Caenorhabditis elegans: one gene and its partners. The protein of the gene in region 4 purifies or fractionates together with the protein of the main gene of each other region. This does not show direct contact. Each region holds a gene or a part of one and is shown on either strand. Other genes may lie near its edges.

What was found.
Region 1: the proteins of ZC443.2 (region 4) and F13H8.11 fractionate together in Caenorhabditis elegans (co-fractionation; one large-scale study listed by BioGRID). This does not show direct contact.
Region 2: the proteins of ZC443.2 (region 4) and pph-5 fractionate together in Caenorhabditis elegans (co-fractionation; one large-scale study listed by BioGRID). This does not show direct contact.
Region 3: the proteins of ZC443.2 (region 4) and K01A2.5 fractionate together in Caenorhabditis elegans (co-fractionation; one large-scale study listed by BioGRID). This does not show direct contact.

The regions. Positions count from the first base shown.
Region 1 is NC_003280.10:6,255,386-6,263,977, forward strand, and holds F13H8.11 (Lipase_GDSL domain-containing protein), read right to left. Parts: upstream 4,637-8,592; 5' UTR 4,571-4,636; coding exon 4,435-4,570; intron 4,387-4,434; coding exon 4,153-4,386; intron 4,105-4,152; coding exon 3,872-4,104; intron 3,815-3,871; coding exon 3,654-3,814; intron 3,609-3,653; coding exon 3,118-3,608; intron 2,641-3,117; coding exon 2,513-2,640; 3' UTR 2,228-2,512; downstream 1-2,227. Other genes in the region: dbd-5 (uncharacterized protein), read right to left, coding at 1-189, 596-641; nmgp-1 (Neuronal Membrane GlycoProtein), read left to right, coding at 5,837-6,026, 6,074-6,138, 6,184-6,339, 6,520-6,686, 6,730-6,888, 6,969-7,059; F13H8.12 (MSP domain-containing protein), read left to right, coding at 7,163-7,195, 7,242-7,391, 7,437-7,553, 7,823-7,909.
Region 2 is NC_003283.11:19,186,748-19,195,113, reverse strand, and holds the start of pph-5 (Serine/threonine-protein phosphatase 5), read right to left. Parts: upstream 4,568-8,366; 5' UTR 4,560-4,567; coding exon 4,436-4,559; intron 4,378-4,435; coding exon 4,130-4,377; intron 3,499-4,129; coding exon 3,319-3,498; intron 2,650-3,318; coding exon 2,407-2,649; intron 1,578-2,406; coding exon 1,329-1,577; intron 1-1,328. Other genes in the region: Y39B6A.3 (Iron-sulfur cluster assembly 1 homolog, mitochondrial), read left to right, coding at 5,150-5,214, 5,263-5,350, 5,427-5,516, 5,622-5,774; hot-2 (Homolog of Odr-2 (Two)), read right to left, coding at 7,461-7,643, 8,215-8,315.
Region 3 is NC_003280.10:299,688-306,793, reverse strand, and holds K01A2.5 (AB hydrolase-1 domain-containing protein), read right to left. Parts: upstream 4,390-7,106; 5' UTR 4,380-4,389; coding exon 4,098-4,379; intron 4,039-4,097; coding exon 3,885-4,038; intron 3,674-3,884; coding exon 3,562-3,673; intron 3,442-3,561; coding exon 3,192-3,441; 3' UTR 3,135-3,191; downstream 1-3,134. Other genes in the region: col-69 (Nematode cuticle collagen N-terminal domain-containing protein), read left to right, coding at 1,264-1,437, 1,487-1,700, 1,987-2,610, 2,698-2,870; K01A2.6 (AMIN domain-containing protein), read right to left, coding at 6,027-6,128, 6,694-6,810; B0432.1 (Serpentine Receptor, class T), read right to left, coding at 7,059-7,106.
Region 4 is NC_003283.11:12,808,424-12,815,481, forward strand, and holds ZC443.2 (uncharacterized protein), read right to left. Parts: upstream 2,770-7,058; 5' UTR 2,736-2,769; coding exon 2,436-2,735; intron 2,317-2,435; exon of another isoform or gene 2,190-2,316; coding exon 1,929-2,189; 3' UTR 1,789-1,928; downstream 1-1,788. Other genes in the region: ZC443.1 (NADP-dependent oxidoreductase domain-containing protein), read right to left, coding at 70-112, 160-332, 382-603, 717-1,166, 1,561-1,635; ZC443.3 (Glutamic acid-rich protein-like), read right to left, coding at 4,169-4,327, 4,454-5,077, 5,143-5,256, 5,371-5,697.

The DNA of each region.
Region 1 (8,592 bases), on a different chromosome or scaffold from region 4:
GAGCTTGGAATTGTGGTTGGTACTGTTGTTGAGCTAGGAATTGCTGATAATTTTGTTGTTGTTGCTGGAATTGTGGTTGCTGCTGGAACTGCTGTGGTTGTTGAAACTGTTGCTGTTGGAATTGCGGGAATCCGTTGAAATTATTAAATTGTTGATGTTGTTCTGGCCATTGATAGTATTGACAGTGAGCTGAAATTAAATTTTAAAAAACGTTTTTTTTAAGTTTCAAACTGAATATTTTCTTGACAATTATGATGGTAATGTTTTTGGGAAATATGCTACCGTATTTAACTATGAGTCTTGCACCATGTGGCAGCTATATCAGAATTTTTTAAATCTGTCAACTGACATAAATTCATTATCTGTTATTCTAGTTTCATTCTAGAAAGATTACGGATATTTTCAAGTCTAACGGAAAAAAAACTTTCAAGTTTGAGTGATGGGGTGCGGAACAGAAAGACAATATATAATTTTCAAATTTTGAAAATGGTAGTGGTACTAGAAATGCAATATATTCGTGTTTTCAGTGGATAACTGAAACTATGGGTTGAAACTAAACTTTCTACATTAACCTATAATAGAACTTAGAGCTCACCGTTGGCTGCCAATATGGCAACAGTTGCCACAAATCGGTAGATCATAATAATGGTAGATAGAGAGAAAATGGAAAGGTAAGAAGGTATAGACTAGCAAGACCGGATCTTAGTGGGCAGCCCAGCACTGCTAACTAAAGCCGAATGGGGCGTGGCCAAGACGTGGAGCGGGAGAAGCTGGTGAAGAAGATTTTGGAAGAGAGAAGGCGGAGGGAGAGGAACACTGGAAAAGGTCGACGGGCCTCTCTCTCTGTAACGGTGCGTGGGCAAAATGTGTAATTTCTAGTATAATCTAGGCGACACAGAGACTGGTGTGAAGCTGCTTTGAAAGACAAGGGGAAAGATGCCGTGATTGTTAATTAAGAATATACTAGGTGTTGTACATCTTTATGGTCACACTTGCCAAGAACACTACTAGTTGATTGTGGTTTGGGAGTTTCGTTTCAATTTTCTTAATTTCAATTGAATTACAATGATGAAGAGTTTGATGGTCATGACCTTCGCAATTGTTTTGTTTGAAATAGTTTGAATAAACGGAATACATAGATGAAGCGGTTATTCCGGTGAGACATCTTTCACTTTCAAGGCGCTAACCTTTTTGATTGGCAATTGCATATCCCATCACAAACAATTACATGCCTTCCTCTTTCATTTTCTCTCTCGAGTCATGACACCCTGACGACACAACGTGACGAAACGGCGCGACACCGCTAAACCCGTCTCCAGAAGATGAAGAAAAAGCTGAGAGGATATGAAGATGAAGCATTGCGCAATCGACGAGGGCACGACGCCACAGATGTTTTGGCCGCCCGCCGCCGCCGCCACAGGAAAGGAAAAGCCTTTTGAAAAAGGACGAAGCAAAAAAGAAAAGCAAAAGATAAATAAAAAAACGAGTTCCTTTAGTAGATAAATTGGATATATAGAATGGACCGACTGTGGCTGACATTGTCTTTTTAGATGAACATACAAGTCCACAACAATGGATCTTGTAATTTCTAGAAAAACTGAAAAGCTGCGTAGACTTTTCGGTATTGAATGAAAAATTAATAATTGGTCTGAAATCTCGACAATTCGCCGCAACTTCTCAATCAACTCTAGCAAACCTAGAAATCTATGCATAGCCTGAGGATTGAATATTTGGAGTTCCAGAAAAACAATCTCATACTATTTGGAAAAATGATCTGTAAAGATTTAAAAAAATAAAATCTAACAATACCGAATTCAGCAAAAAATGTACTGAAACAGTTTCTGATGGAAATTTCAGGGGCTCAGATTTGATTTCTTCGGAAAATTTCACTAAAGTTGATGGAAACATGAGGAAAACTAAGAGAATATCTGACTATATATGATCGGACTCATTATTCTAAATGTGTGTCACCTAATAAGAACATTTTATGATCGAGTATCCTAACTTCTTAAAGCCATTTTGAACTTTAGATGACGTAATAATAAATCTCTGGTTCTCATGTCCATCGGATCTTTTTACCTCAATTTATCTTATCACCTCTGTCCACTATGATTGATTCTGAAAGAAACTCGGTTACGTAATCACAATCGGGTTTCCTTCTCCTCTTCATTCTCTCAATTTCGATTCTGTCTCTTTCTGAATGAATCGCTTTTTGGAGATATATATGTACATACAGACACACTTCCATTTATTTCCTCTTTGCCATTTCATTATGATACTACACTAGGGACTGATATGTAGTCTACACAAAACAATAAATACAGTAGGCAACATTAATGGATGTAGTGAGATAGAATGCATTACGCCATTCGAAATAAAACCCGCATAGGTGTGACATCATTAGGAAGAGTAAGAAGGGTGCTGGTAGTTGTTATAAAAAGTGGAAATCTAGACGTTCTCATCGTTCACGCAACTGTCTCATCAAGTGGCATGAGTACATTTTAGAAACCATTTAGAAAATGTTGTCATTGAGGTCGGCACGCAGCGGAAGAAGTAGATGATGTCGTTCATCGGAAAACTCGGAAGACGTCGTAGAACTGCGGATGGAAGCACGAACAAATAGGAGTATTAGAGCGGTACCTAGGAACAAAATATTTTCGGTTTATATAAAAAGTTGAATAATGCTAAGACATATTTTTAGTCATAAGTGACAGAATATCTACCTGCCTACATCTATGCCTTTTTTCTTGAACTTTAGCTTGAACTCAGGTGTTAGATTTTTTCACCGTGCAGAGTATTTTTGATATATTTTTAAACCGTTTTTCTTATAGTATGTTTACATAATCTTCAAAAGTGAAAAAGTTCAAATTTGGTAGTACACAAGACGCAGGCGTAGGTGCCTTGAGGGCAGGCAATTAGCGTCTAGCGTTTTTGAGAAAATATGTTTATTGGTGCCCCTTTATTTTATATCTCTTATCTCTGAAAAAGCGAAAACGGAAACTTTCTCCCAATGAAAATATTTGAAAAGTGGTTTTATTGATTATTATAGCAGCTGCTTTTAATCTAAGCCGCCTCACAAAAAAATAAGCAACGTATTTTTTCCCAGACCAAACTCACCAAAAAGGAAAAATACAGGAATCATGTATGGAGGCATGCTTAAACCAGGAGAGCTTGCAAAAGCTGAAGGAACTCGGAGAAATCTCATTTCTCTTGATGGCTCACAGTTTTCAGAGTTTTGAATCGTTCTTAGGTACGGACATTCAACAGGAGGACACACGAATCTATCGAATCCAACTGATAATTGATTAGTGATTGTTTTTTGATCAATTGGTTCGAACAATCCTTTCCAAATTTGTTTCGCAGCAATATCATGAGCAATTGGAGAAAGATGGAAGCAATCGAGTGCCAATAGTCCAATATTCGGCTGGTTTTTAAGTAACGGAATTGATTTTAGATCCATGGCTGGAGCAATCACAACAGCAAATGTAGATGAATTTCCATATTTTTGATTGAATTGTTCTACAACTTCATTCAATTGTTCATCGAATTGTTTCTTGATGTTTTGATATTCTTTTTCATTTAATTCAAAAATACACGAGCATGTTTTTCTGTAATTATATGTTTAATTTTTTTTTTAATTTTGAAAAACAAACCTATGTGAAAACTCGCAGAACTTACTCAACTTGTGAGCTTGTGAGTGAATTTTGACATTTATTGGTGGCATTATGTTAACGAATACCTTTGGAACATTTGTTTGAATTATTGTAAGTGCCGAGTGAAGTGACTTTCCAAATGTTTCAGGCCCGAAGGTAGTCTGAAATATTTTTTAATGGAAATGAAAATTAGCTCCGATGTGAAATGGTTATTTTACCTCATTATTGCAAATGTTACACAAGTCATTATGACCGATGAAAATATTAACGAATTTCCATGTATCAGATGTTTCTCTACCCAGCTTTTTCTTCAATGTACTTGCTAATTTGAGCGCTTGTTCGGGAAGCTCCGAGCTGAATGAGCCAGGAATCGCCATGTTAAAGTCGTAAAACTTTTGAACAAAATCAGAGGATCCTCCTTTTATTCGCGGTGCAAATTTACGGAAAATATCTGAAAAGCTTCTGTTGCAAGTAAGTGAAAGTCAAAACGAATTATTACTAATAAAGGTGGCTTGCTCATTCAGCTTTACATCATCTCCTGTTACAAACGAAACACCAGGAAACTGATCAAATAAATCGAGAATTGACGATGATTTCGCCGCTTGTGCAACTGACACAGAATCGCCTAGTGCTGCTATCACTCCAATTTGTGATGGATGAAGCTGATGTACAGATTCGGAAGATTTTCGATGAGGTTGGGGACAATTGAAGTTTGGAAAGCCCATTGGGTACTCTGTAACACGGAACTTGAAGGGTTAGATGGAACGATTAATAAACTAACCCATTGAATCCATAAACGCATTTCTAGTTTCTTTCCACTGATTGAATACTTCCACAGATGTTTCGATAATTTCATTAGGAGGTGAAATAATAGAATTAACTTCCACAAACGCCAAAAAAAGGAAAAACCGTGCCATTTTCAAGAAGAACGCTGCAGAAAAATGAGGTAACATGTATGTTAAAGTTAAATCGTTTTTCAGAATGATAAGATAGTCTGTTTTCCAATTTACACCGTAGGACATAGATAAGAGGGCGAGCAAATTGGTAAAAAAGGGGACAAACAAGTTTGTGTAGTCTGTGTTTATATGTATTTCGTTTTTGCAAATTGTGAAGTAAACTGAGCACAAACACCAACTCATTTATTTAGCGCTCAAATTCTACTGCGAATAATATTTGATATTAGTACATAAGTCTCAATAAGCTTTTCTCAAACTCAAAAGGGCTTGCGAGAGGTGATGAAAACGAGGTCATCTACAGTTAATGCCACCTAAAAATGCTCAAAAAATCAATTGTGAAGACCGCGTTCAGGCTGTGTGATAGATAAACCCATGTCACCATATATGAAAAAGTTAAGAAGTTCTTTGAAAAAAAGAACTCCTGAATATAATTTTAACAAAATTTAACCATTTCTCAGAAAACAGTAACCTGTATATATTCATATTTCCACTTTCAAAAAAATTCTCAATGTATATCCGGTTGGCAGGTGCCGCTGAAAAGTGTTCAATGAAACGGCAGCAGACTCCTTTGTATTCTTCAACTCTTTTTCCCAGATGTTCATGATTGCAGCTCATCGTACATCACAATTGCATGCACATTCATTTTAAAATGTGTGTGTTTCCTACTGATTCAATAAATTGAAAATAACACCACAAGTCACCCAGAGGAAATGTAAAATTGCGTCATACATGAGTTGTTCCAACTTTCAAATGGCACCTTGCGACATTCTCATCGAAGATCATGCAAACATGACTCACCATCATCTTCTCCTCTTTCTGCTTTCCTCCGCTAAAACTGACCATCCGTGGCGAGCTGTCTGCGTCTCAATATTTAAATTTGTTCCCAACCCACTATCTCACCTTTCCGCGTCCGTTTCCAATTTCGATCGCAATACAAACAAACACACTCATACATACCTTTTTGTTGCCCCGGTGCCCGCTTGCACTTGCTTATTACAATTATTCCACGGCTACATTTGTTTCTTATTTTTCATCTGAAATAATATTTTTCAAACTGTCAAAATAGTGTCAAGATCAACGAAAGAGGCGGCGCAAAGACGTTCGCAGAACGCCGCCGTCGTTCATTTGAATGCGGACGCAGAAGAAGATGACTGTTTTCATCGAATACCATATGCATCACTTATTGGATCATTATTATGCATTCTTGGAGTTATTCTCTTTGCAATTATGATGTCCTGGGCATTTAATGCAACTGCAGAGCAAGTCAGAAGATCTCTGAAAATAAATGATTGGCCATGGCTTGACAAGGTTCAAGTTTTCTTTATTGTAATCGCAGTTTTAATGGGACTATTCTCACTTTTCTTCTTATGCATCGGATTTACTGCAACTGGAGGAACAAGAGAAACTATGTATAAAGGTTCAAAATGACAATGATCTAGGAGAACTTATGTACAATATTTTCAGACGATGAAGCTCGCTGTGGTGGAAAATTTGCATGCGTCATCGCAATGTTGATCGATTTCTTTCTAGTAAGAATTGCTCAGTAAACGTATAATTTTAAAACTAACTTTCAGATAATTGCATGGCTATTCATTATTTCAATTGTATCTTGGCTTTGTATATTTTATTATTTCTTCGATCGGCTCTGCATGAATCTTCCAGGATATACAGATGGTGACTGTATAGATCTTCATGTTTTCTGGCCATTAGTTTCGTCCTTTGCCAACTCGGTGAGTATTAAGTTTTAGGATTCTCAAAAGAAAGCAATTTAATAAGTTCCACATTTACATATGTAGGTTGAATTGGAGAAATGTTAAAATTTGGGATTTTTTTGAGTATTCTTCCTAAAGTTTATGAACAACAACTTTATCATTTTGAGAAAATTAAAGTCAACAAATGAATTATTTCAGAATCTTCGAATGTGCGGTGGAGATGTGCAACAATTCTGTGCACTTACCTCCACAGCATTCTCTTGGTATGTCATCGGATGGGTTGGATGTGTTCTCATCATTCTTGGAGTTCTTTTATTTTTTGGAATTCATGCATCAAATTATGCACATATTGGAAATGCTAACAGGTTTTTATTTTCATATTGGAAGGCCGTGAAAACAAAATTTTAGATACGTTGAACTTGGCCATCTTCGGATAGTTGAACATCGAGAACCAGGAGCAGATCGAAATTCTAAAAATGCAAATGGTCGGAAAGATGTACGATTGCCAGAAAAATATGAACTTCAATCAACACAATATAGTGATTCTCGTGCAAATTATTCAATGAGGTAAGCCAAGTTTTTTTAGGTATTGGTTTCAAATTGAAGAATAATTTTTTATTCATCTCACCTACTGCTTTATTTTTCAGAACCTCAACAAGCCGTCAAGCTGAGCACATGTCTGATTCTGTCAGTCAGTTCGATTATCGCAGGGATAAAAGATTAAAACCGGTTTACTAACTTTTAAAAATCTCACGTTCATAATTAGGATTTTGAATTTTTTAAAAATTATTCCACGACAACAATAAATGCTTTTTATTAATTCTTTTCAAAACCTATCATCATGACAACACTTTCGCAAGGTGATCAACAAATGGTATAAACAATTTATATTTTTCTTTCAATGTTTCGTTTTGTAACAGATAATATTCGAAGATGATACTCGCGATCAAACGATGTTTTTGGAAGTAGCAAATCGTTTTCAAAAACGAATGAAGTTTGGTTGGGAGACTAGTTTCGGACCATTGCTCAAAGTGAATCCGCCGGTTGGCATAATGGAGCCAGGAGAGACTGTATTTGAGTTTTATTCTGGTGAAAGTTATGAGCGTGTATTTCAGAAATCGTTTGAAATTCAATTTAATGGAGGTCATCTTCCAAATACGGATGTGATGGATGCAGATCACTCGGTGAAAATGTGGTTGACGCCGGCGGAAACTAGAAAGAGAAGCTTAGAGGTAAAAGGTTATTAGTTGGATTTTGACTTCTCAACAAGAGTATATTCGAGGACAAAACATTACGATTTAATTGAATTCTGCATTTGATCTACATTTTACGATAAGTGTTATGATGGACTGAAAATGAAAAATATGGGTACTTCTTTAAAATTAAAAAGTATCATTTAACACTATGTAAATCCACATCTATTAAAGTTAATTCGAGATTCAGATATATAGTCTACTCCTGAAATGAAAAAATAAACTTTTGAGGCCACTCTAATTTTCAGAACACAACAGTCCAAGTTCCGATCATTTTTGCTGTTCATGTGCAACCGAAGTGTGTTATGGAATTTGAGAACTGTACCAAAAACTGATTATAAGTCAATAAACTATTTCGATTCACTGTTAAAAGTGTGTTCAGTACAAAAGAAGAAACTCCCAAATGTTGGTTTTTTCACAGATCGTTGCAGGTTTTATGATATCAAAGTTGCGTAACGTTCAGAAAAACTTGGAGACTTGGTTCTGAAAAAAAACAAAACAAGTTTTTCATTCGTCATTTCAACGTTGTTACGTTTTCAAGAAAGTTGTTCACAAAATCCTTTCATCAAATCTGTTGCAAGATCCATTTTTCATTATGGACCATTGATTGTGGACCTCTGCTTGCTTTTGCTTCAATTTTTGGTCTTTCATGATTTCAAAGTATATTGTTCCATAAAATGTATATGGCAATTAATAAAATAACTAACGGGAGCAATTTTATGGATTTTATTCACAATGAAACACTCAATTCTCTGAAAACAGGAGAAACCCCATTTTTTCATTGTTCAAAATTCCTGAAAAAGTAAATAGTCAACCTCACAATTAAACTGAAAAAAATATCGTTGACTTCAAAGTATAAAAAAGTTTCAACAGAAAGTTACCATAGTTTTGGCCCACTCTTCGCATCTTCTGGCAGTAAACTAGAGTTGCAAACTAATCCAATTGCATTTTCAATTCAATTTCTCATCTATTCAGTTGCCATGAAAACATACTCTAGAAAATAACGAATTGCATTATT
Region 2 (8,366 bases), 6.4 Mb from region 4:
AAAAATTAGCAGCGACCAAATAATTAGCAGCGACCAAAAAATTAGCAGCGACCAAATAATTAGCAGCGACCAAAAAATTAGCAGCGCCCAAATAATTAGCAGCGACCAAATAATTAGCAGCGACCAAAAAATTAGCAGCGCCCAAAAAATTAGCAGCGACCAGAAAATTAGCAGCGACCAGAAAATTAGCAGCGCCCAAAAATTAGCAGCGCCCAAAAAATTAGCAGCGACCAGAAAATTAGCAGCGCCCAAAAATTAGCAGCGACCAAAAAATTAGCAGCGACCAAAAAATTAGCAGCGCCCAGAAAATTAGCAGCGACCAGAAAATTAGCAGCGCCCAAAAATTAGCAGCGCCCAAAAAATTAGCAGCGACCAGAAAATTAGCAGCGACCAAATAATTAGCAGCGACCAAAAAATTAGCAGCGCCCAAAAATTAGCAGCGCCCAGAAAATTAGCAGCAACCAAAAAATTAGCAGCGCCCAAAAATTAGCAGCGCCCAAAAAATTAGCAGCGACCAGAAAATTAGCAGCGACCAGAAAATTAGCAGCGCCCAAAAATTAGCAGCGCCCAAAAAATTAGCAGCGACCAGAAAATTAGCAGCGCCCAAAAATTAGCAGCGCCCAAAAAATTAGCAGCGACCAGAAAATTAGCAGCGACCAAATAATTAGCAGCGACCAAATAATTAGCAGCGACCAAAAAATTAGCAGCGCCCAAAAAATTAGCAGCGACCAAATAATTAGCAGCGACCAAAAAATTAGCAGCGCCCAAAAAATTAGCAGCGACCAAATAATTAGCAGCGACCAAAAAATTAGCAGCGCCCAAAAAATTAGCAGCGCCCAGAAAATTAGCAGCGCCCAAAAATTTAGCAGCGCCCAAAAATTTAGCAGCGACCAAAAAAATTAGCAGCGCCCAGAAAATTAGCAGCGACCAGAAAATTAGCAGCGACCAGAAAATTAGCAGCGACCAAAAAAATTAGCAGCGCCCAGAAAATTAGCAGCGACCAAATAATTAGCAGCGACCAAAAAATTAGCAGCGACCAAATAATTAGCAGCGCCCAAAAAATTAGCAGCGACCAAATAATTAGCAGTGACCAAAAAATTAGCAGCGACCAAATAATTAGCAGCGACCAAAAAATTAGCAGCGACCAAATAATTAGCAGCGCCCAAAAAATTAGCAGCGACCAAATAATTAGCAGTGACCAAAAAATTAGCAGCGTCCAGAAAATTAGCAGCGCCCAGAAATGAAAAATCCAGGATTTCAGCGATTTCTGGGCCATTTTCCTCAAATTTTCCAGATTTCCAGGCCATTTTTCACGTGAAGAAACTCACAAAAATCTTCTCATTAATCAAATGGCACAATGGTAACCAGCAGAACGTCTCCGTAAACATATCACACATTTGTTGAGTATATTTCGCCTTAACTTCACCCTCAAATCCGTACATTTTATTCATGACGTCAGATTCGTGATTTCCACGTGACATAAAGAAATGATTTGGGTATAGAAGTTTGAAGCCAATCATTGTGAAAATTGTTTCAACGGAAAATGAGCCACGATCCACGAAATCACCGTTGAAAAGCTGAAAATTTGGCCATTTTTTGAGCATTTTTCACATATTTTAAGTGAAAATTTGGCCATTTTCGGGGGTTTTTGGGGTGAAAATTAGGTGTTTTCGTGATTTTTAGAGTCAAAATTTGGTAATTTTTGTGGTATTTCTGCAATTTCAGCAAAAAATTGAAATTTTTTCAAGTTTTTTGATGAAAAATTGCCAATTTTTGGTGAAAATCAGGATTTTTTAAAATGAATTTTAGCCAAAATTTCGAGCATTAAAAAAGAGCATTTTTCAGCTTTTTAGTGAAAAAAAAATATTTTGCATTGATTTTTAAGTCAAAATTTCGAAATTTTGATGGTTTTTTGTAGAAAATTCGACTTTTTCAAGATTTTTGACAAAATTTTGGCTTTCAGGCGGTTTTTAGTAAAAAAATCGAGCATTTTTCATAAATTTAAAGTCAAAAATTGGCAATTTTTTTGCTTTTTGCTAAAAATTCGGAATTTTTCAATGACTTCTGCCAAAACTTTGAAAAAAAAAATCATTTCAGGGTTTTTATCTGAAAATCCGCATTTTTGGTGAAAATTCCTCAATTTTCAGCTGTTTTGGTTTTAATGTTTGAAATTTTTTCACGAATTTCAATCAAAATGTCGATTTATTGAGCTTATTTCAATAATTTCTGCAAAAAAATTCAATTTTTAGAGGTTTTTCACTAGAAAACATGATTATATCACAAAATTTGCCTATTTTCATGATTTTCGGTCAAAAATTGGAAATTTTTATGAATTTTAGCTCAAAATTCCTCAATTTTCCCGGATTTTCAGTCAAAATCTCTCATTTTTCAGCGCTTTCCCCGTACATATGGATTAGTCTCCGATGGATATCCATTAATCTCGAAAATATTGCACAAATCGTAGAATTGTCCGTGAACATCACCGCAAATCGTGAATTTCTTGCCAGTTGGCACCGTAATTTCAACCATTGTTGGCAGTGATTTGACATAATTATAAAACTCGAGGAGCATCTTGAACGCGTACTTTTTGTGCAATTTTTGCTGATTTTTGAACGTTTTGATGAGTTGCAACACGAATTCCTTGGTTATCTGAAAAGGATTTTGATCATTTTTGCGGTTTTTTACGGAAAAAACGGGAAAAAACTCAATTTTTCGCTTTTTTTTAACGAAAAATTCACTTTTTTTCTGTATTTTTTGCGGAAAATCGATTTTTAGACTAAATTTCTATGAAAAAAAAATGATTTTCAGGCGAATTTTTCGTGAAAAATTGACTTTTGGACTAAATTTCTATGAAAAATAGATTTTTGGACCAATTTTTTAATGAAAATTCCAGAAAATCCAAAAAAGATTGGAAATTTGCACGTTTTCTGACCGGAAATGCTAGTTTTTTTTTGTGAAAAATCGATTTTTGGGTTAAAATTGCAGTGAAAAATAGATTTTCAAATTAATTTTTATGAAAAATAGTTTCAGGACCACTTTTCCCTTGAAAAATCGATTTTTTGGACTAATTTTCGCAAAAAAATTCGAATTTCTGGCCTATTACCCTTGAAAAACGTATTTTTAGATCGATTTTCACAAAAATTTATGTTTTTGGACCGTTTTTTAGATCAAATTTCTATGAAAAATTGATTTTTACATCAGTTTTCCACCGAAAATCGCAATTTCCGCTCTGAAAATTGAATTTCGGGGTCAAAATTGCCGGTTTTACATCAATTTTCCGTCTAAAAATCGATTTTCACAGCCATTTTCCACCCGTACTTTATCTTCCAGCCGTGGACCATCATACGAATCCTCAATAGCCATTGCATTAATATCAAGAGTCTCGGCGACGGTTTTCTTGTCGTGATCCGTCGAAATTGCGGCTTCAAACTTCTGTCGGCGGACGATTTTCGAGCATTCGTCGAATTTTGCGCGAGCGTCTTTGTCGTTGGGGCAAACCTGCAAAAAAATGGAAATTTTTTCGGGGAAAAATACGGGAATTTTTGAAATTATACTAAATTTGAGAGAAAAATTATCAAAAATCACGTTTTTCTCATAAAAATTGGTTTTTTTTTTCATAAATATCGATTTCTTTTCAATTTTTTCGGCCGAAAGCTGTCAGCAGCGCCCAAAATTGAATTAGCAGCGCCCAAAACTTGTAGTTTGTAGTTTAAGCAGCGCCCAAAATTAAATTAGCAGCGCCCAAAATATTGTAGTTTGTAGTCTAACAGCGCCCAAAATTGAATTAGCAGCGCCCAAAACTTGTAGTTTGTAGTCTAAGCAGCGCCCAAAATTGAATTAGCAGCGCCCAAAATCTTGTAGTTTGTAGTCTAAGCAGCGCCCAAAATATTGTAGTTTGTAGTCTAAGCAGCGCCCAAAATTGAATTAGCAGCGCCCAAAATCTTGTAGTTTGTAGTCTTAGCAGCGCCCAAAATTGAAAAAGCAAAATTTCAAATTTTTCGCGTTTTCCGACTTTCTGGAGGTGAAAATTGATATATTTTTTCGAAATTTTCTCTTAAACCGGGTGAAAAATAGTTTCTAAACCGCCGTTTTTTCCGCTCTTCAACACCCAAAAAAAGTGAATTTTCACCTTAACAACCGCCTGATAATCGGTCAACGCCTTTTTAAACCGCCCCAGAGCCATATTGGCGGTAGCTCTTCTATAGAATCCCTTCACATATGACGGATCAATTGCAATCGCGTTGTCCGCATCCTCAAGAGCACTTCCGTAGAGCTCTTTCTTCAGATAGGCCTGTGCACGGTTTCCGTAAAGAACCGCCGTCGGATGAATCTCAATTGCGACAGAGTAGAGGTCGGCGGCCACGTCGTACACTTGATCTGCAGCAGGAAAATACTTTAAAATTCATCAAAAAATCGGTTTTTTTCCAAAAAATACCCTTAAAAAACTGATTAGCTTCATCTTTAATCATTCCAGCCTTCTCCTTCTCATCTTCGTACGACTTTTCCTCAATTGACTCCAAAACTGTCGCCACAATGTCATCTGTTATAGTGGCAGCCATTTCGGAGCCTGAAAATTTAGATTTTATTTTTTTTTTTCTTTTTTTTCTCTTTTTTTTTAGCGAAAAAAACCGAATTTCGGAGCGGTTTCCCTAAAATTTAACCGTGTTTTTCGAAATGTTGAGCCTGAAATTCACAAAAAACACAAAAAATGCAAGAAAATCGATAGAAAATGAAGAATTTTGGGACAATTTCCGGTTGGACGGGGTTTTTTTTTTTTGCACAATTGCTCTTGTGTGTGGATTTACGGTAAACAACACGCGGTGGGAGGTGAGCGGAGTGTCGTTGTGTTTGGGTTTTTATTGGATTTTAAGGGTTTTTCGATGATTTCAAAGGTTTTTTACAGGGGAAAAATAAATAATAGCATGAAAACGTTGATTTTTTCATATTTTCGTAAAAAATTTACAGAAAAAAAGCTTAAAAATCGCTTGATTTCGGCAATTTTGACAAAAAATTTCTTGTTTGGATTTACGGTAAACTACACGCGTGGCCGGGATTTCGGAGCAACGTTGTCACTTTTTTTTTTTTTTTCATTTTATTTCTGGAATTTTCGCTATTTTACTCATTTTTCGACTAAATTTTCAATTTTCCGATGTCAAAATTCGGTGGAGCAACTGCAAAAGTCATAAAAGGCGCGCTAAAAGTCCGACAAACGAGGTAATTCTGAATTTTCCCGGAAATCTGCCAATTTTCACCCCGAAAAAGTTTCAGAGCGGCTCTCACACTTACCAACGAAGCCGTCAGCAGAATACGCGTGTTATTGGCTCAACAGAATGATGCAAATGCGTTGAAAGTTCGTTTTTTCCGTCGATTTTTCGATTTTTCGATTTTTGCGCCGCCGGAAATGATGAAATTTTTAATTTTTTCAGATCGGAGTTCGACAAAAAGGCTGTAATGGGTTAACATATACACTGGAATATGCAAAGGATAAGCAGAAATTTGACGAGGAAGTTGAGCAGGTAGAAATTGCCTCAAAATCTGGATTTTTAGCTCAAATTTATCACAAAAAACCCGGATTTTCACTAATTTCGATGAAAAATCCCCCAATTTTTCCCATTTTCCAGGACGGAATCAAAGTGTGGATCGAACCAAAAGCTCAGCTCTCGCTACTCGGCTCAGAAATGGATTACGTCACCGATAAGCTATCGTCGGAATTCGTTTTCCGAAATCCTAATATTAAAGGAACGTGTGGATGCGGAGAATCTTTTAGTATTTGATTTGATGATGATTTGCTACGCTATTTACCATAATTTAGTAGTGATTTCCACGTGTACATTCTAGAAAAAATGCTAATAAATTTGAATATAGTGCAGAAAATTTGGCAATTTTCAGGTGAAAAACATATGAAGTTTGCATGATTAACTTGTTTGGAGAAAAATACAAAAGATACAAAAAAATTCGACCACGCTGGGGGCTCGAACCCCGGAGGTGTGATTGGTAGTCGGCGAAAATCCCACTGCGCCACTTGGACACATTTTTTTGAAAATTCAGAAAAACGATGGAAATTATAAGAAATCACGGTTTTAAGTTAAATTTTAAATTTTTATATGTGAAAAACTCACAAATTTTAGATTTTAAAAAAAATTAAAGTTTAAAATTCAATTTTCACCATGTTCTCGTAGTTTTTGTGTTCTAAAACTTGAAAATTCGGATTCCGCATGGTGGAATTATCCGAAAACCATTTAAAAATCAAAATAAAAATTTTTTACCACAGCGGGGACTCGAACCCCGGAGGTATGATTGGTAGTCGGCGAAAATCCCACTGCACCACTTGGACACAATTTTCGAAAATTCAGAAAAACGATGGAAATTATAAGAAATCACGGTTTTAAGTTAAATTTTAATTTTTTATATGTGAAAAACTCACAAATTTTAGATTTTTAAAAAAATTAAAGTTTAAAATTCAATTTTCATAATGTTCTCGTAGTTTTTGTGTTCTAAAACTTGAAAATTCGGATTCCGCATGGTGGAATTATCCGAAAACCGTTTAAAAATCACAATAAAAAAATTGTGCCACAGTGCGGTCTCGAACCCCGGTCTTGTGATTGGTAGTCGGCGAAAATCCCACTGCGCCACTTGGACAAAATTTTCGAAAATTCAGAAAAACGATGAAAATTATAAGAAATCACGGTTTTAAGTTAAATTTTAAGTTTTTATATGTAAAAAGCTCTAGTTTTAGACTTTTTTAAAATTGAAATTTTGAAACTTAATTTTCACCATTTTCTTGTAGTTTTTGGTTTTCTAACACTTAAAAATTTGGACTCTACGTAGTTGAATTGTCAAAAAACGTTAAAAAACCACTACAAAAATTTTTGACCTCAGCGCGGCCTCGAACCCCGGTCTTGTGATTGGTAGTCGGCGAAAATCCCACTGAGCCACTTGTACCGAACTTTTCAAAAATTCAGAAAAATGATGAAAATTATAAGAAATCACGGTTTTAAGTTAAATTTTAAGTTTTTATATGCGAAAAACTCACAAATTTTTAGATTTTTCATAAATTAAAGTTTTAAAACTCAATTTTCACCTTTTTCTCGTAGTTTTAGTTTGTTCGGCGAAAATCCCACTGAGCCATTTGGACAAAATCTTTGAATTTTTTTGTTTTTTTGTTTTTTTTTAAATAAAACAATTTTCAGAAAAAAGAACGTAAAAATTTATTCACTTTTTGCAATAAAACTTACAGTTAGAATAGCAAAAAAAAAAACCAATAATGTTTGGTGTTTCCAATATATATATATATTTATATAAAAACCCGTAATACATATATCCAACATAAAAATGGGCATCTAGAGAAACGGAGATCATATTTCAAAAAAAAAATCCAAAGAAAGACATGTAAAAATCAATAAATTCAAAAAAAAATTGCAATTTTTTTCACAAAAAAAAAATTTTTTAGAAAATCTTTTTCAATACAATAACCGATGTAGAAAAACTAATAAAAAGACGATAAATATTGATGATGACGTCATTATTGTAGAATTACACCGGTCACCGTAACACGAGCACAGTTGAACATCGCCGAGTGCCGGGGGGTCAGTCTGCCGGGCTGGGTTGAAGAGGGCTGAGCGGGAAAGCGTTCGGCAGTGGTTCTGGAATGTTTTATTAAGAATCACAATAAAAATAAAAATTATTGACCGCAGTGGGACTCGAACTTTGGACCTGTGCGTGGTAAACGCGCCTCTAACATACTGCGCCACTGGGACTCATTTTTAAAACTGTCTAAAAATTGTCGGGACTACAAATATTTTAAGCTTTTAAGCTTTTAGGCTTTAAAAATGTTTTTTAACTCAAAATAAGCCTATTTTGAGGCCTAGAAAATCGATTTTTCAAAATGAGCATTTGGTGTTGTCAAATTCCAAAATTTCAAAAATATCAATATGGGGGTCAAATCAGTAGCAAAATTTATCGCAAATTCAAATTTTTTATCAAATTTGAGCTAACGTCACTTTGAGCCGAGATAGAGCTCGATGAGCATTTTGGGACGTCGATTTCTAAAATTTTGAAGTTGTCGATATGGGGGTCAAATCAGTAGCAAATTTTATGGCGAAATCAAATTTTTTATTTAATTTGAGCTAATGCCTCTTTGAGCCGAGAGATAGAGCTCATTGAGCATTTTGTGTTGACGAGTTCCACACTATTTTCGACCCCAGAAGAACTCACATTCTGATGAAACCGGTGAGTTCGGAGCGCTGATTGGTTAAATCCGTGCCGCAAAACTCGGTCCAAGCATCCTCGGATATGTTTGAAGCCGATAAATACTCCTGGAAAAAATAAAATTAAAAATAATCATTTTTTGAAATTTTTGAAAAAAA
Region 3 (7,106 bases), on a different chromosome or scaffold from region 4:
TTTATACTCCCATTGGACTATAATTCTAGTTCAAATATATTGTCGGTCTCCCGTTTCACCCAGGAAGAAAATTTTTCAAACCACGCAAGACACAAAACGTGATTTTATCAGTGAAAATCAAGTCAATACGTTTTAAACAATTAAGAGAGGAGCCTTATTGCAACCTAATTTTTTTTCTTCCGTTTGTTCAAGTTTATATTTTGTTCTGATAAGAAGTGGCATGCACACGGATGGAGTCTTCCAAAGGGGAGAGTTGAAATAAAACAAGGTCTCAATTATTCCAACAGGTATTGTCTTTATTTTGTAGTTCCATTTGAAAATAGTCACATTTGAAAATTATTACTGAGAGGAACCAGTTAAACTTGGTGGAAAACGGAAAACTCAAAAAAAATTGGAATGGCCTAGAGCTCCCATGAGGTCGCCGCTACGGTGCCCTCGCCGGCCTCCCGGCGTCACTCACTCCGCTTGTATCCGAATGTATGTAGCGGTGCGGTACCCCGAACACGTTAGGCCCGCATTTTGCGTCTCACTTAGCTGGGAACCCTAGCGTGGTCTGACAAACTATTTGAATAGCTTTTAATCATAAAACGCTTAAACTTTATTTCTTGAAAGCTTTTTGAATTTTTTTTTCAAGAAGGGTGAAAAAATTTCAGATTTGAAAAAGGATTCAGTAAATATATTCATCCCGAAACATCGAATGAGTCTTGAAATCACTGAAACATGCATTGAAAAAAATTCAGAATACTGTTAAAACATATGCTTTAAATGAGATGAGATTCGTTTTGAATTCTGCAAGTTAACATGCTTAATTCCCTATTTAAATGTTAATGGAACTCATTTTGCACTTTGAAATTATGTTTATATAACTACCTGAAAGAAGAATCGTATTAAAATTCCACTATCAATTTTTATCAACTCACTGCCATTATAGTGGTTATTGACTAACTGGCGCCACGTTTATTCATTGATAGTGCTTTCAAAATCTTAATGATTCTTCCTTTATTAGGAATAATTTGGTTTCCGGTGGAACTTTTTTTTGTCAGAAAAATAAAATCAAAAATCAGTTTGTTAAAAAAAATTCTACCAATTGAAATATAATAAGTGGTATACATATGCCAATTGAATTTCCAAGTACTTTTCGCGCATTGAAAAGATCCGGATTTTCCGTTCCAAAACCTTCACTTTATGCGCCGCCCGTCTCTATTTTCAGCAGGAGAGGGAGTATATAAAAGACTAGTTCTTGCCGCAAAACTTCATTAAACCATGAATTTGAACCAAAGTTGTTCACTGAAAAAGTTTCAATTATCTACAGTAATACGTGTGTCTTTCATCGCTTCGTCCCTATTGATTTCGTTATGTCTGTTTTTGATTATGATGACGTCACGGGAAATCTCCGAGTTCCGGGAGCAGACTCTGGATGATTTAAAAGAATGGAAGGTTGGTCAGACTTTTTATTTGCCTGCACCTGGACAAAAAAGTTTTCCAGTACTTCTCCGACGCCGCGTGGAATGAAATGACGTCACTGACAATTCGAAAAGCCAGAAGTCCATCAACGACAGGAAACTCTGGAAATGCCGGAAAACGATTCTGGGCAAAACGATCTTATGATAGTTATGCTCCGCAGCAAGTGAATTCGTATGCAAGAGTGAATAGTTATGCGACTGCACCCGTTTTACAGCATCCAACACAACAGCAATGCAGTTAGTTTTTTTTCTTCAAAAAATAACATCCATTTTGCGGGCGGAGCTTGGATTCTGTGAGAATTTTCGTTTAAAAAATGGGAAAGCTCGTTCAGCAAGATACATTTGTGAGCGGAGCCTAATATCCATTTTTTGGGCGGAGTTTGGTCACAATTTGACTATTTGAACATCTTGTATCTCTTTTTTTAGAAGAAAATTATAATTTTATAGAATTTTGCGAAAAACGGAAAAGATAAAAGGGCAAAAACTAAAAACGAGACTACAAACTACAAAATTCAATTTTCAGATTGTGCCCCACAAGCCAACAATTGTCCACCAGGACCACAAGGCCCCACTGGTTACCCTGGAGCTCCTGGAGAACCGGGCTCTCGGGGTCTCGATGGACGTCCAGGAGCCAATGGTGTAACCCTTATAGCTTACGATCAAGAGATTCCAGGTTGCATACAATGTCCCCAGGGTCCACAAGGTCCTCCTGGTGCCGTTGGGCCTTGTGGACCTTCTGGAATTCCCGGGCTCCCAGGGAATCCCGGATACACCTCTCCTCCAGGACTTCCTGGGCCACCGGGGCCTTGTGGTGAAGCTGGACGGGAAGGTCCCAATGGTACACCAGGCCTTAAGGGAGAGCCTGGAAATAACTCGATCCGTCAGATATCCCTACCAGGCCGTAAAGGCCCTCCAGGACTTCCTGGTCAATGCGGACCACCAGGGCCACCTGGATATACACCGCCTCCAGGACCACCAGGAACACCTGGAGTTCAGGGAGAAGCTGGACAGGATGGAGAACCAGGGGTACCTGGAGTTACTGGCTATCCAGGAGTTCGTGGGCCACCGGGGCAGGATGCTGAATATTGTCCGTGTCCACCAAAGAACGCAGGAGTCAATCGGAATAGTTATGTGCAGCCGGCACCAGGTAGGCTACTTTTTTCCATTAAGTAGGCGGGGCTGATATTACGGCCTAAAAAAACTCAAATTTCAAATTTCAACATATTTTTTACAGTGTCCACAAGCTACGCCACAGCATCCCAAAGCCGTTACGTGTCAGAGTACAATAAAGAGGATGAGTACAGGAAACGAGTGCTGGCTCGAGTGCTCAAGAAGCAGAGACGACTACTTTTGGCGACAAGAGCAAAGAATGTTCGCCGGAAGCCTGTTAGTCACGCTAGTCCGTAATTATTTTTATTTTTGTGAAATAAATTTGTATAAACTTTTTCACGGACGTTTCCAGAAAGTATACTGTCCCAAAAATTTTAATTGGGCTTCGCATGGGCCCCGCCCACAAGGCTCGGACAGAAACCCTTTGTGAACGGGAAGATTTTTTTTCTGGAAATTTTAGAATTTTTTCTGAAATTTTCTTTTGGCAAAATTCCTAATGAAATCAGTCATTTTGTGGGTGGAGCTTATGAGTGTAATAGCGAAATTGCTTGAGACCAGGACGAATTTTTTATAAACTTTATTCTTCACAAAATACAAAATACAAATTTCATATATTTATCATTTCTTCTCCGTGCTCTTCAAGAATTCCAGAACCTTTCCGGAAAACCATTTGGGATATTTCAAATAAAAATCGTGTCCTCCTTGTGCATGAATCTCAACTTTTGCCAAACTCTTGAGCACTGGGATGAAGCATACATTCGGGTCACCACAGAACCGGTCCAATCCACCATTCATCACTAGTGTCGGGCATTTGACTTGTGGAAGTACCAGGTCACACGGGAAACGGCCACCGCAGAACGAGTGAACTCTGAAAATTCGTTTGGTTAGGTAGGAAGCAGACGTAGGTCGCCTTGAAGGTAGTTGGCAGACATATTTGTGCCTACAGGAATATACACAACTTCGCATAAGCCCCGCCCACAAAACTCACTGATCTACGACGTCACAAAGTGCCGCCCATTGTGTCCGGAGTGTTTCCGGCGAATAATGGTCCAAATATGGTTGACGACCGGCTGCTAGCCAATGATTTGTTTCACGCATTCCTGAAATTCCAAAAATTAATTTATAAAGAGCACAAAACCAATAGATGGCCACACCCATAAAATGGACGTTCGATTTATTTTCCCATAAAAAATCTTGTAGGTAGGTAGGCATAAATTGCTGCTTCTATGTGGAAAAATGGGCCATATTGGTGTCAAATTAAGAAATTTCATTAAAAAACAGTAATCTTCCAAATATATCTAAATATCTCACCCTTGAAAGCCATGGCTCCTAGATGATTAACTTTTGTTGCACCAGCCATTACAATCATTCGATTCACTTTTTCCTTTCCTTTAGCTGCCACGTGGACCGTTGTTCTAGCACCTTCTGACCACCCCATCACGGTGAACGGCTCTAGTTTCAGGGTCTAAAATTTGGAGGCTTTTTGAAAACGTAAAAATTTTAATTTCAAAATTAAAAGCTCACCTCCATTAACCCTAGGCAATATTCACTATCCTTCATACATCTCTGAACTTCTTGTTTTCGCTCTGGAGGTCTTGAGGTACCGTAACCTGGAGGATCAATCCCAACAATTGTGACCTGATCTGGTGGGAAATGAGAGAGCAATTTGAGTGGCCAATCTTTTTTATAGCAGCCGACAGCACCGCAAATCGCGAGAATGTAGTTCGGACCGTGGCCGTATTTACAGTAACCGATTTGAGTGTCCTTGATGTGTTCCGAACTTTCGATATAGTCGCTTTGAGTCATTTTTCTTTTGCTGAAATTTATTTAGGTGTTTAATTTGTTAATTATGAGGTAGCGACGGTGAGGAAATTTTCCGGATAATATAAATGTTTGAGACACCTTTGTGACCTTTGAGACCGCACACCTTTGAAGTACATCTCCCCGATTTCTTCTATCCTAGAAAGAGACGTAACAAGGGTCAAGGTTCAAATGTATTGCTAAGAGAACGCCTCTTGTGGTGTGGTAGTACTACAGTATTTACAACCTACTAGTACAGTAGGTCGTATATATTGTTATTGTCGATGATTTACAACCACCGGATTGACCTAGAATTAACATAGGTATTTGAAATCGGTTTAGGCCAAATAATTATGGTTCCGCGACATTTATAGAATTCGGAATTTTCTGAAGAGCGAGAACATGTATTGTGAACCTCTACAATATTTAAATACAGAAATGTAGAGTACAAAACATTGTTTTTTGATCGACTTCCAGAATTATGATACGTGAAAACTGATAGTGAATATTAAATTATTCGAAAATCGGACACATGGAATTATTGATCTCAAAAATTCGGTGAAATAGGCTAAAGAGGAAGGAAAACCAAAGAGGAAATTTTAAAAGTGCATGTATTTGAATGACGAATAGTTCTACGAAAAAGATTTTGAAAGTCCGATAGGAATGAGAAATTTGTAGCCTACAGATTAAGATTTCAGAAGGAATTTGGACAAGACCGGATTAATTTTGTGCCTGTAAGCTGCGGAAAGTTCTAGAACCATCTGGAAAATACGAGAAAGTTTTGGAATGTTCTAAAACCTTCTGAAAAATTAGATAGAATTCCGGAATGTTCTAGAACTATCTGGAAAATACGAGAAAATTTTGGAAGGTTCTGGAACCTTCAGAATAATTCGAGAAAATTTTGGAAGATTCTAGAAAGGTAATAAAAATTATTAAAAAAAACATAACCACTAAAACACCGAAACATCTAGTTATTTGTAATATAAATGTGTAGTTTCTAATAAAAAGGAACTATGAAACAGTAAAGTAAACCTTTTGATTTATACTGGGAGAGTATGCAGATTTCAATCTAGGATATGAGGGTAAATAGGGAATAACAGGTGAAAGTGTACAAACGCAGTCGGAGGAAGATGTTGTTAAGATGAAAGAAGAAGGAGAAGAACACAGGCACTTGGACACACAGAGGGAAATAAATGGGAAATGAAAGGGAAAAGGGATATGGAAGAGACAGAAAATTGTTCCTATTGTCTGAAGGTATTGTATAAAACCGCAAAGAGGAAATTGATGATCGAATCATGTGATTTTGCGGGGAGTGCTGAAAGCATTTTTTTCAGATTTGTCAAGCTTGGGTCTTTGATCTTTTAGGACAACACAGTTTTACACATCTGGAACAATGCGGCTTCACCCATGTTGTCGAACACAAATAAATTTTTATGAACCAAATTTAATCAATAAAACTTGAAAATTACAATATTAGAGAAAAACTTGAAGACGATTTTCTCATTTTCCAGTATTCCCTTGTTTCCGTGTCAATGTCCAAGACTCCACTTCCACTGGATCTCCAAGCGGCTCCCATTGATCCGTGAGCTGTCCTTGTCGATCTCTGAATACTCTAGCTCGTCTTAGGATTCTTCTATATACTGTCGCAGGGTACTATGTGTCGCAGTGTTCATTGGGGTCCTGCCGGTTGACAACTTGCACAGGGACTCTATCAAAGTTTTGATCATGAAATACAGGTAGTTGTTGCGCTGTTCCCTGGAAGATTGGATTGATTGAACAATTTTTTTAGCATCACCTTTTTAAAATATCAGTTTTTAACTGGTCGGTTAAAAAATCCATATATGCCTGCCACCCGATATCATCATTTTAGGTGACTAGCGGGCCTATGGGCCCGCCAGCCCTTCGGGAATGGGGATAGGGTTAATTCGCTCTAAGTTATTAGCAAGGTAGCTGGCGCAGGTTCTCGGCTTTGCCTCGAACCTGTTAACGGGTTATTCGAGATCTCTTTGAAATTATTTCAGGAGTGGGGTATATGTTTAGAAAACTTGACTATTCAGGTTTGAGGCTTCGCCTCGAAGCTCTTACTGTGTAAATTGAAATCTCTTTAAACTTTGATTCATTGCTCCAGGACCGACACTGTACGAATAACTTAGGCTGAGATTTTGTTCAAGAATAATTAGAATGTATTCAATAAAATAAGTGAACAAAAATTAGGAACAGAACCGTTTTGAATGTCATGATGTATAGGTTCCTTAAGAATAAAATATAATTGTTTCAAACTGACGGGTTAATAATGTTTTAATTCCCTTAATCCACTTACCAGATCGACTTCAAGAATCCTCCTGGAAACAATTCTCGACTCTCCGGACAAAATCACAGTTGGTACATTTTGACAAAAAGCATAGGAAATAAGTAAAACGATTCCCAGAAGAATCATAGCAGCGAAACTGAATGAGGAACTTGTTGTCAAACGATAATAAGCTTATCAGTTCGTAGACTAATGATAAGACTAACATGCTAACTGGTAGGCAGTTGCAAAACATCTAGAGGTGCTTTCCATTTGCTTGCAGGAATCGTCATTCTTGGTTTTTGGATTGTATGCTTTATTATTATTAATGTTGTAACTTAAATAAATAAACGATCAAATAAATAGAATTTCACAGAAATTATAACATCAAAATCCTTTCAATACTTTGCGGACACATTGAGCACCGGGATGGTGTTAGAGGTGCC
Region 4 (7,058 bases):
GATCGAAAATTGTTTATTTTGGTTCAAAACAAAAGTAGAATTTGTATTTATATTTCTTTTGGACATTTGTTATCTCTGTGTCGCGAATGGATCTTCAGGATGATCAGCAACGCTGAAAAATAGTGTTCAGTATCATTTTTGTTGCTTAAAAAAAAATACTTTGGCCACCAGAAAAGTCTTTCCTGTTTTGTTCTCTCGTGCGCTTCTAGGAGATTTACTTCAGCATTTGAAATGTTGAAATCAAAAATGTTGATGTTTTCTTTCATTCTTTCAGGATTCGTAGTTTTTGGAATAACTATAATTCCCATTTCAACTGTAGCCCGGAGAAGAATCTGAAAATAATCCGGCACAAAATTGTAAACAGATTATTTGAAAATTTACCTGAGCTGGAGTTTTACTGTATTTCTGTGCGAGCGCCTTCACATGTTTGTCGTTCATTTCATTTTCAGAATTTTGAGTGCTTTCAAACAAAGGTCTACCATTTGAACCAACGACAGACATTCTTCCAGGAGAGCCTAACGTCGCATAGGCTGTTATGAGGATGTTGTGTTTTTTGCATAGCTCTCTGTGAGCTTTTTGAGGCAAATAGAGATGAAGCTCAAGCTGAAAAATTTGATGCAAATATATGAAGATTGTCAAAAAAATTTCATCAGAGTTATGTTGTTTTTGATATTTTTTAACTCATAGAAATTATAAAAAAACAGAAAGCAGGTCACCTGAGAAGCGTGAATAGGAACTTTTTGGATATTCATAATTCGGACAATCTGACTTTCATTGAAGTTTGAAACACCAATTGCTTTTGTCAATCCCAAACCATACACTTTCTCGAACCCTCTCCAAATATCTTCAACTTTTACATCAGAACGAAACGATCCATCGTCTTTGGTTGATGCGGGAATATGTGCAAGATACAAATCAACATAATCCAAACGAAGTCTTTTCAGTGAGTTTCTCAATGCTTCTTCTACAACATCAGGCGCAACTTCATGACAGAACGCTTTAGTTGTTATAAAAATATCTTCACGTTTTAAAATCCCTTCGGCAAACAATTCAGCTAAAGCGTCTCCAATTTGATGCTCATTTTGATAAAGAGTAGCTGTGTCGATGTGACGATATCCGGCAAGAACTGCATTTCGGATAACTGTTTTTCCTTCTTCTCCCGTCATCTATTAAGTAGAGAAAATGATGATTTTTAAAGAGTGACGCCAATTGTTTTTTAAGTTTCGAAAAATATCAAAATTTTGTAAACAACTGAACCAATACAACAAATTCTTGAGAAATTATAGAGTGGACTCTTTTCTTTGGCTCATACAGATTTTTGAGCGAAAAAATTATTTTCTAGTTTGCTTCTCTGCTTCTAAATATTTCCGATAAAACATTTTTTGTCTGAATTATTGAAATTTGTTGGGTACAGCTATCCGAAACTTTAATAAAATTCCTAAAAATTATATCAATGTACAAAAACTGGCAATTTCAAGTAACATTACAACCAAGTGTTGAATAAATCCTTGCTAATGGTAGTTAATTTATTCTAAACTTCAAACTAATTTTAAATGTTACCTGCCAGGTACCAAGACCAATACTTGGCATGAGAACTCCATTAGACAGAGTGAAGATTGGAACTTTTGATGACATTTCGAAGGAAAATAAAGTTTGTATAGTTGGGGGTACTTCATATTTATACACAAACCGCAATCCTAATTATCGAATTAAAACTGGAAGAAAGACCTTGAATTTGTGGTCTGTGTGTGTGTTTCTCTTAATATATAAAGAAAATAGTTTGCGCTGTTCCAATTTGTACTTCGTTTTATTGAAATTAACAACATGGACGAGGGGAATGATGAGGAAAAGATTATGTCAAATGGGTAGAAGTAGACGAATAATGACGACTTGGAAGAACACAAAATACATTTTTAAGTACCAGAAGTTTAGGTGACTTGTTCCATTTCCTTTCCATTTTTATTTCTAATTTCTCGGTCTTTTTCCATCTTCTCCAGTCGTGAATTGGTGTATTTGTAATATCCTTCCTTCCCTAAATACCACATCAAGCGATATTCATGCTTTTGATTCATTCTCTCTGCTTTCTTTTTTCTTTCCTCAAAAGTTCGTTCCAGTTTCTCAAGTCGTTTCTTCTTGTACATTCGGTATTTTTCAATAATATGGTCGTTGTGGTCGGCAAAGATGTGAATCTAAAAATTCGATTTTTTTTTCAATTGTAGAGAATTTGGTGTATGTTGTTTCCTAACAGGATTAAAAAGTTAATTTGATGTTTTTGTGAGTTCATTGTACATTTTAACAAAATAAACCTACATTTGATATATGCCAACCAAACTTTCAAAATTTTCAGACTGGAATTTAATTTCAAATTTAAGACAATAATGCCAAACGTGTTCAAGATTTTGACATCTTTATTTAAAACAATTCTAGAAACTCACCGCCCATTCTCCAGCTAAGCCGTCTCTTTTGAATTGAGCATTTTTTAGAAGATAGTCATCTAATGAGTTTTCCAATGCAAATGCCGATGAATAATGAAATCGGAAAGGTTTAATACATCCAATTGGGTGAAGAGAACGGAAGAAATGCTGAAGTTTTGAATAGTTACTATCATTCATTGCAGCATATCCAGGGAAATACTCATTGAATTCTTCAATCGCAGCGACATACTCAATTGACATCAATTTGTGCTCCGATTTTGGGAATGTATCTCTCCATAGTTTGATTACTTTTTCGAACATTTTGAAGATAAGCAGGTTAGTTAGGAAGTGTCCCTGGAAATATTATTATTGTTATTATTATGAAAGAGATGGATAAATGTAGTAAGTATGCAAAAAGTAAATGAAAAGCCAATCGTATGCAAAAGAATAAATGGACAAAAGCTGTAGAGAAGCAGACAAAATGAAAGAGAACGAGAAATAGGATGAGGAACACTACACACATACAAACAAGGAGGCAACGAGTGGACCACCTCAAGCATCTTGTGAGTTATAATTTGCACACACCCCCCGTACACTTCCCCGCTTGTTTTTGATTTGATTTTGTAAAGGATGCAGAAAAAGAATTGAACAAAACAACACGTCATGATGCTCTGCTAGAGTGCTTGGAGCAAATGATAAGAGAAATATTAGAAGCTTTTATTGAAATCAGGTGGTCAGTGGGTGAAGCGCATGGTTTTCCCACAACAATGTGACCTCGATTATGAATTACAAGACTTTATGAAAAATTCGTACTTTATGAAAAATCGTTTGGTAAAATCTTTACGACTTACTTCCGTACTGGATCATCCTAGTGGGTACCTTCATAATACGTACAGTAAGCCTTCCACAAGGACGCAACTTGCGAAAATATTTTAAAATTAAACTCAACAATACTATTTTTAGTTGAACTTAGTTAAAGCTAGAATATGCGAGATTTTAACAAAGTGTTTATCCTGAAATTTAGTGCTGGTCTTGCTCTATTATTTGTACCTTCTATTGGAAACTTGACACCGTGAACTCATGATTTTCTATATCAATTTTCACATTTTTCCACCTCTTCAAAACTTTCCCTCTTTCAAGCTTGAAGTCCCTCTTCGGTTTTCTACAATGCTAACGAGCTTCAGTATCACGCATTACCCATGCGCAAGAAAATGAGAACAGACAAGAAATTTCAATCAAGCCTATTATTATTTTTCTCACTTTTTTTTCCTGTCTACTCACTTTCTCTTGAAGGAAAAGCTTAAAGCAGTGGCACCCACTGCCATCACTACTACAAACCGGTCATTGTCAACAAATAACACAACAACGCATTTTTGTTTTGTTGACGCCATGATGCGCAAGCAGGCATCTAGAATTATTATGCAGTGGTGGGATGGTAATTGTGAAAAATCCGGATGTTTTTACATTTTATACAAAAATTCATATAAGGAGTTGAGGAAAAATGAATACTTGAAACATGAATACATATGAAACAATTAGAGAAGTTACATTTCTATGTACAAATAAGAATGTTAAAAACATTTAGTTACAGTTTGTTCAATTTAATAACTAAAGAAAAACAAACGGTTCTTTGGCATTATTGAACAATTTTGAAAATGAAAAAATTCGGAAGAATGTTAATGAGAAATTTGAAGCAAGAAACACGTTACAGAGTGCACAAGTACCCGTTGGCAGAAAAGCAAGATACTTGGCACCTATAGCATTTCATATTCTAGAGCATCAACGTCCTTGTCCTCGATTTTCTCCAACTCTTCAATGTCACTTCCATCGTCTGAATCCTGATCACATTTGTCGAATTCTTCATGACTATCGGAATCACTCGCATCGTCCACAATTTTCGATTGTGACGCAGCCTAAAAATAGTTTTGTTGAAACTTTACGAGTGAACAATTTGCTTCCCAACAATTAATTAGAAATAACGAGAGAACCATTTTATTTATTATTATTTTGCACAAATCAAACTTTAAGCTAGAACTTACTTTTGTGTTCTTCTTGTCATCCAAGTTCAGTTGCTCCATAACATCTTCTAAAAGAGATGCTGCAATTGTAACTTCATTCGTCTTTTCGGGAACATCTGATTTAAGGTTTTCAGATTTTTCAGTTTTATCCTTTTTCACAGTTACAGATTTAGCAACTTTGAATTTTGCTTCGTGTTTCTTTGTCACAGACATCATCGACTTTTCTGTACTACTTTTCGATTGATGCTTTTTTTGAATAAGATTAGCTTTTGCAGCAGATATGGCAAGTGAATCATCTTCTTTAACCGGCAATGAAATAATGACATTTTCAACTTGCACAGGCGCGGCTACAACAGTTTCTGGTTTGGTCAGTTCACAAACAACCGACACGTTTTTCTTTTCCAGCTCTTCAATCTTTTGGAGTGTTCGGTTTAATCTGATTTTGTTCAGAACAAGCTCACATTCCTCCAATTCTTTATTTTTCTCTTCAACTGGAATTTCATCGCTAGCCATCGATTCAACCACATCCTTTATATCTAATTTATCTTCTTCTAGACTGATTGTGGGAACGTCAAATGAAGTTCGGTTAGTATAAATGCAAGAGTCATCATTCCCAGAGTCTGGCAGTTGAGTGTGTCGTCTCACCTGAAAGTTTTGAGTTAAAAGTTAGTAGACACTGCCACATGTTCCACATTTTCACTTGCACTTACGTCCAGAGCCTTGAATCGCTGGTTTCTTCTCTTTAGTTCTTTTGCAGCTGACCTTGTTTTGTACCGACGGTACTTGCTCATAAATGTCGTATTGTGACCGGAAAGGATTTGAATCTGAAAAGGAAATATTTGTTTATTGCAAAGAACGAACCAAATATATTATTCCATTAGCTTCTTTTTTCTTATAACTCGTTTTGTCCCGTATATTTACCCCGATATGTCACTCACCGCCATATCCCCAGTGACATCCGGCTGTTTGCGAGTGGCAATCATCCGGTCAAAATGTCTCTCGAGTTTGAGAACATGGAAGAATGTATTCTTATCGGGAATCATTGAAAATCGATTGATATCCGCAGTAATGCTCATCATACAAAGGTCATTGTGTTTGCTCGGAGTGTACACTTTAATGTAGTTATAGAATTCATCAACTCTTTCCGGAGAGCCCACGTAGGCTTTTGTATATGCATTGTGAACAGTCTCACGGAAGGCCACAATTGGTTTCTTGACAGTTTTCTTAAGGGAACGAAGGTTTTCAACAACGCCCGATAATCCCATGTCTGAAAGTATTAATGAACGCCGGTTTTGCAAACTTCGAAAAGATAAAAAATGAATTAGGAATGGTGAATAATCTACAGAAGTATAATCTCTGATGACTCAAAAACTAGATTTTCTGGATGAAGAATATATAAAAATGATATGAAAAACTGATATCCCAGTAGCTATTAAAAATGAAAATACAGTCCAAGTTTCTTTCGCGGAACATGTGACCAATTTGGATGAAGCGGCAATTTATCAATAGGATTTTTGAAGCAAAGAAAAAACGAAAGCATATGACTTTGGTTGACTGGGCTATACAACAAATGTAACGACGATGACGACAGGCGAGAAGAGGGTGAAAAGTATTGGGAAAACGGGAATGGAACAAGCGATGGAGAATCTAGATGTATCTAGACAAGAGAGGCGTGGCATTGTCAGAGAAGAGGACCCTACAGCTTCGTGTGCAGTGGAAATATAGAGCCACGAGTTTTGTCTTGCGGCGTCGAATCGACCGCCGAAAAGCGACGAGGGATCTGGGACGATTGTCAGCTGGGGAGAAGGCGAGAGAAGCCCTTGGATAGCAGAAACTGAGAGGGAAATACAGGAAGAAAGTGCAGAGATAGGTGAGCCGCAGACATAGAAGGGTCACTCGTTCGGTCAGCTGACCAGAAGAAGGGAGGGTCCAGGCAATGAGACGGTTGGTGTTCCGGGCGGGGGTAAACACGAAGAGGCATGGGCACTGAAGCCATCCATCTAAGAATATTTATTAGTCAGATGCGCGAAAAAGTGTACAATCTGACTGAGCATGGAGTCAGAAAACAAGACTTGCCGCCAAAACAAGTTTGAACTACGTTTTTCACACCTAAAAGCAAAATTAAACTTTTTAACTGTTTACTCTTTGACTTCAAAGCAAGAAAACATTACTTTGAAATCCTTTGTCTAGATTAGGTTATCAAAAAAATTTAAGGGAAAAACGAATTTAGAAGTAAAATTTTTCCTGTACATTCTGTCACTAATTTCTGAACTCGTTAAATTGATTTAAAAGCTGTTTTTTGCACACTTCGGATGATTTATTTTTATTTTGATCGAGATGAATGCAAAAGTTATCAGAATTTATACAAAAAAACTCTTTAAAAATTTCTGAAATTTTATCTACCTTTAAACATTAGAAAGAAATCATTACAAAGTGGACTGAAAACAGTCGTTGGAAAAAATTTCAAGGAACCCAAAATTAGTGACAAAATGCACTGAAAAAAATGGTTCCGAAAAATTAATCACATTTTGAACATGTTTACATTAACCAAAAAAATTATTCACCTTAATTAAACTTGTGGTAACTTTTAATGAATTAAACTTCTGATTTTGCCGATAAGCATATC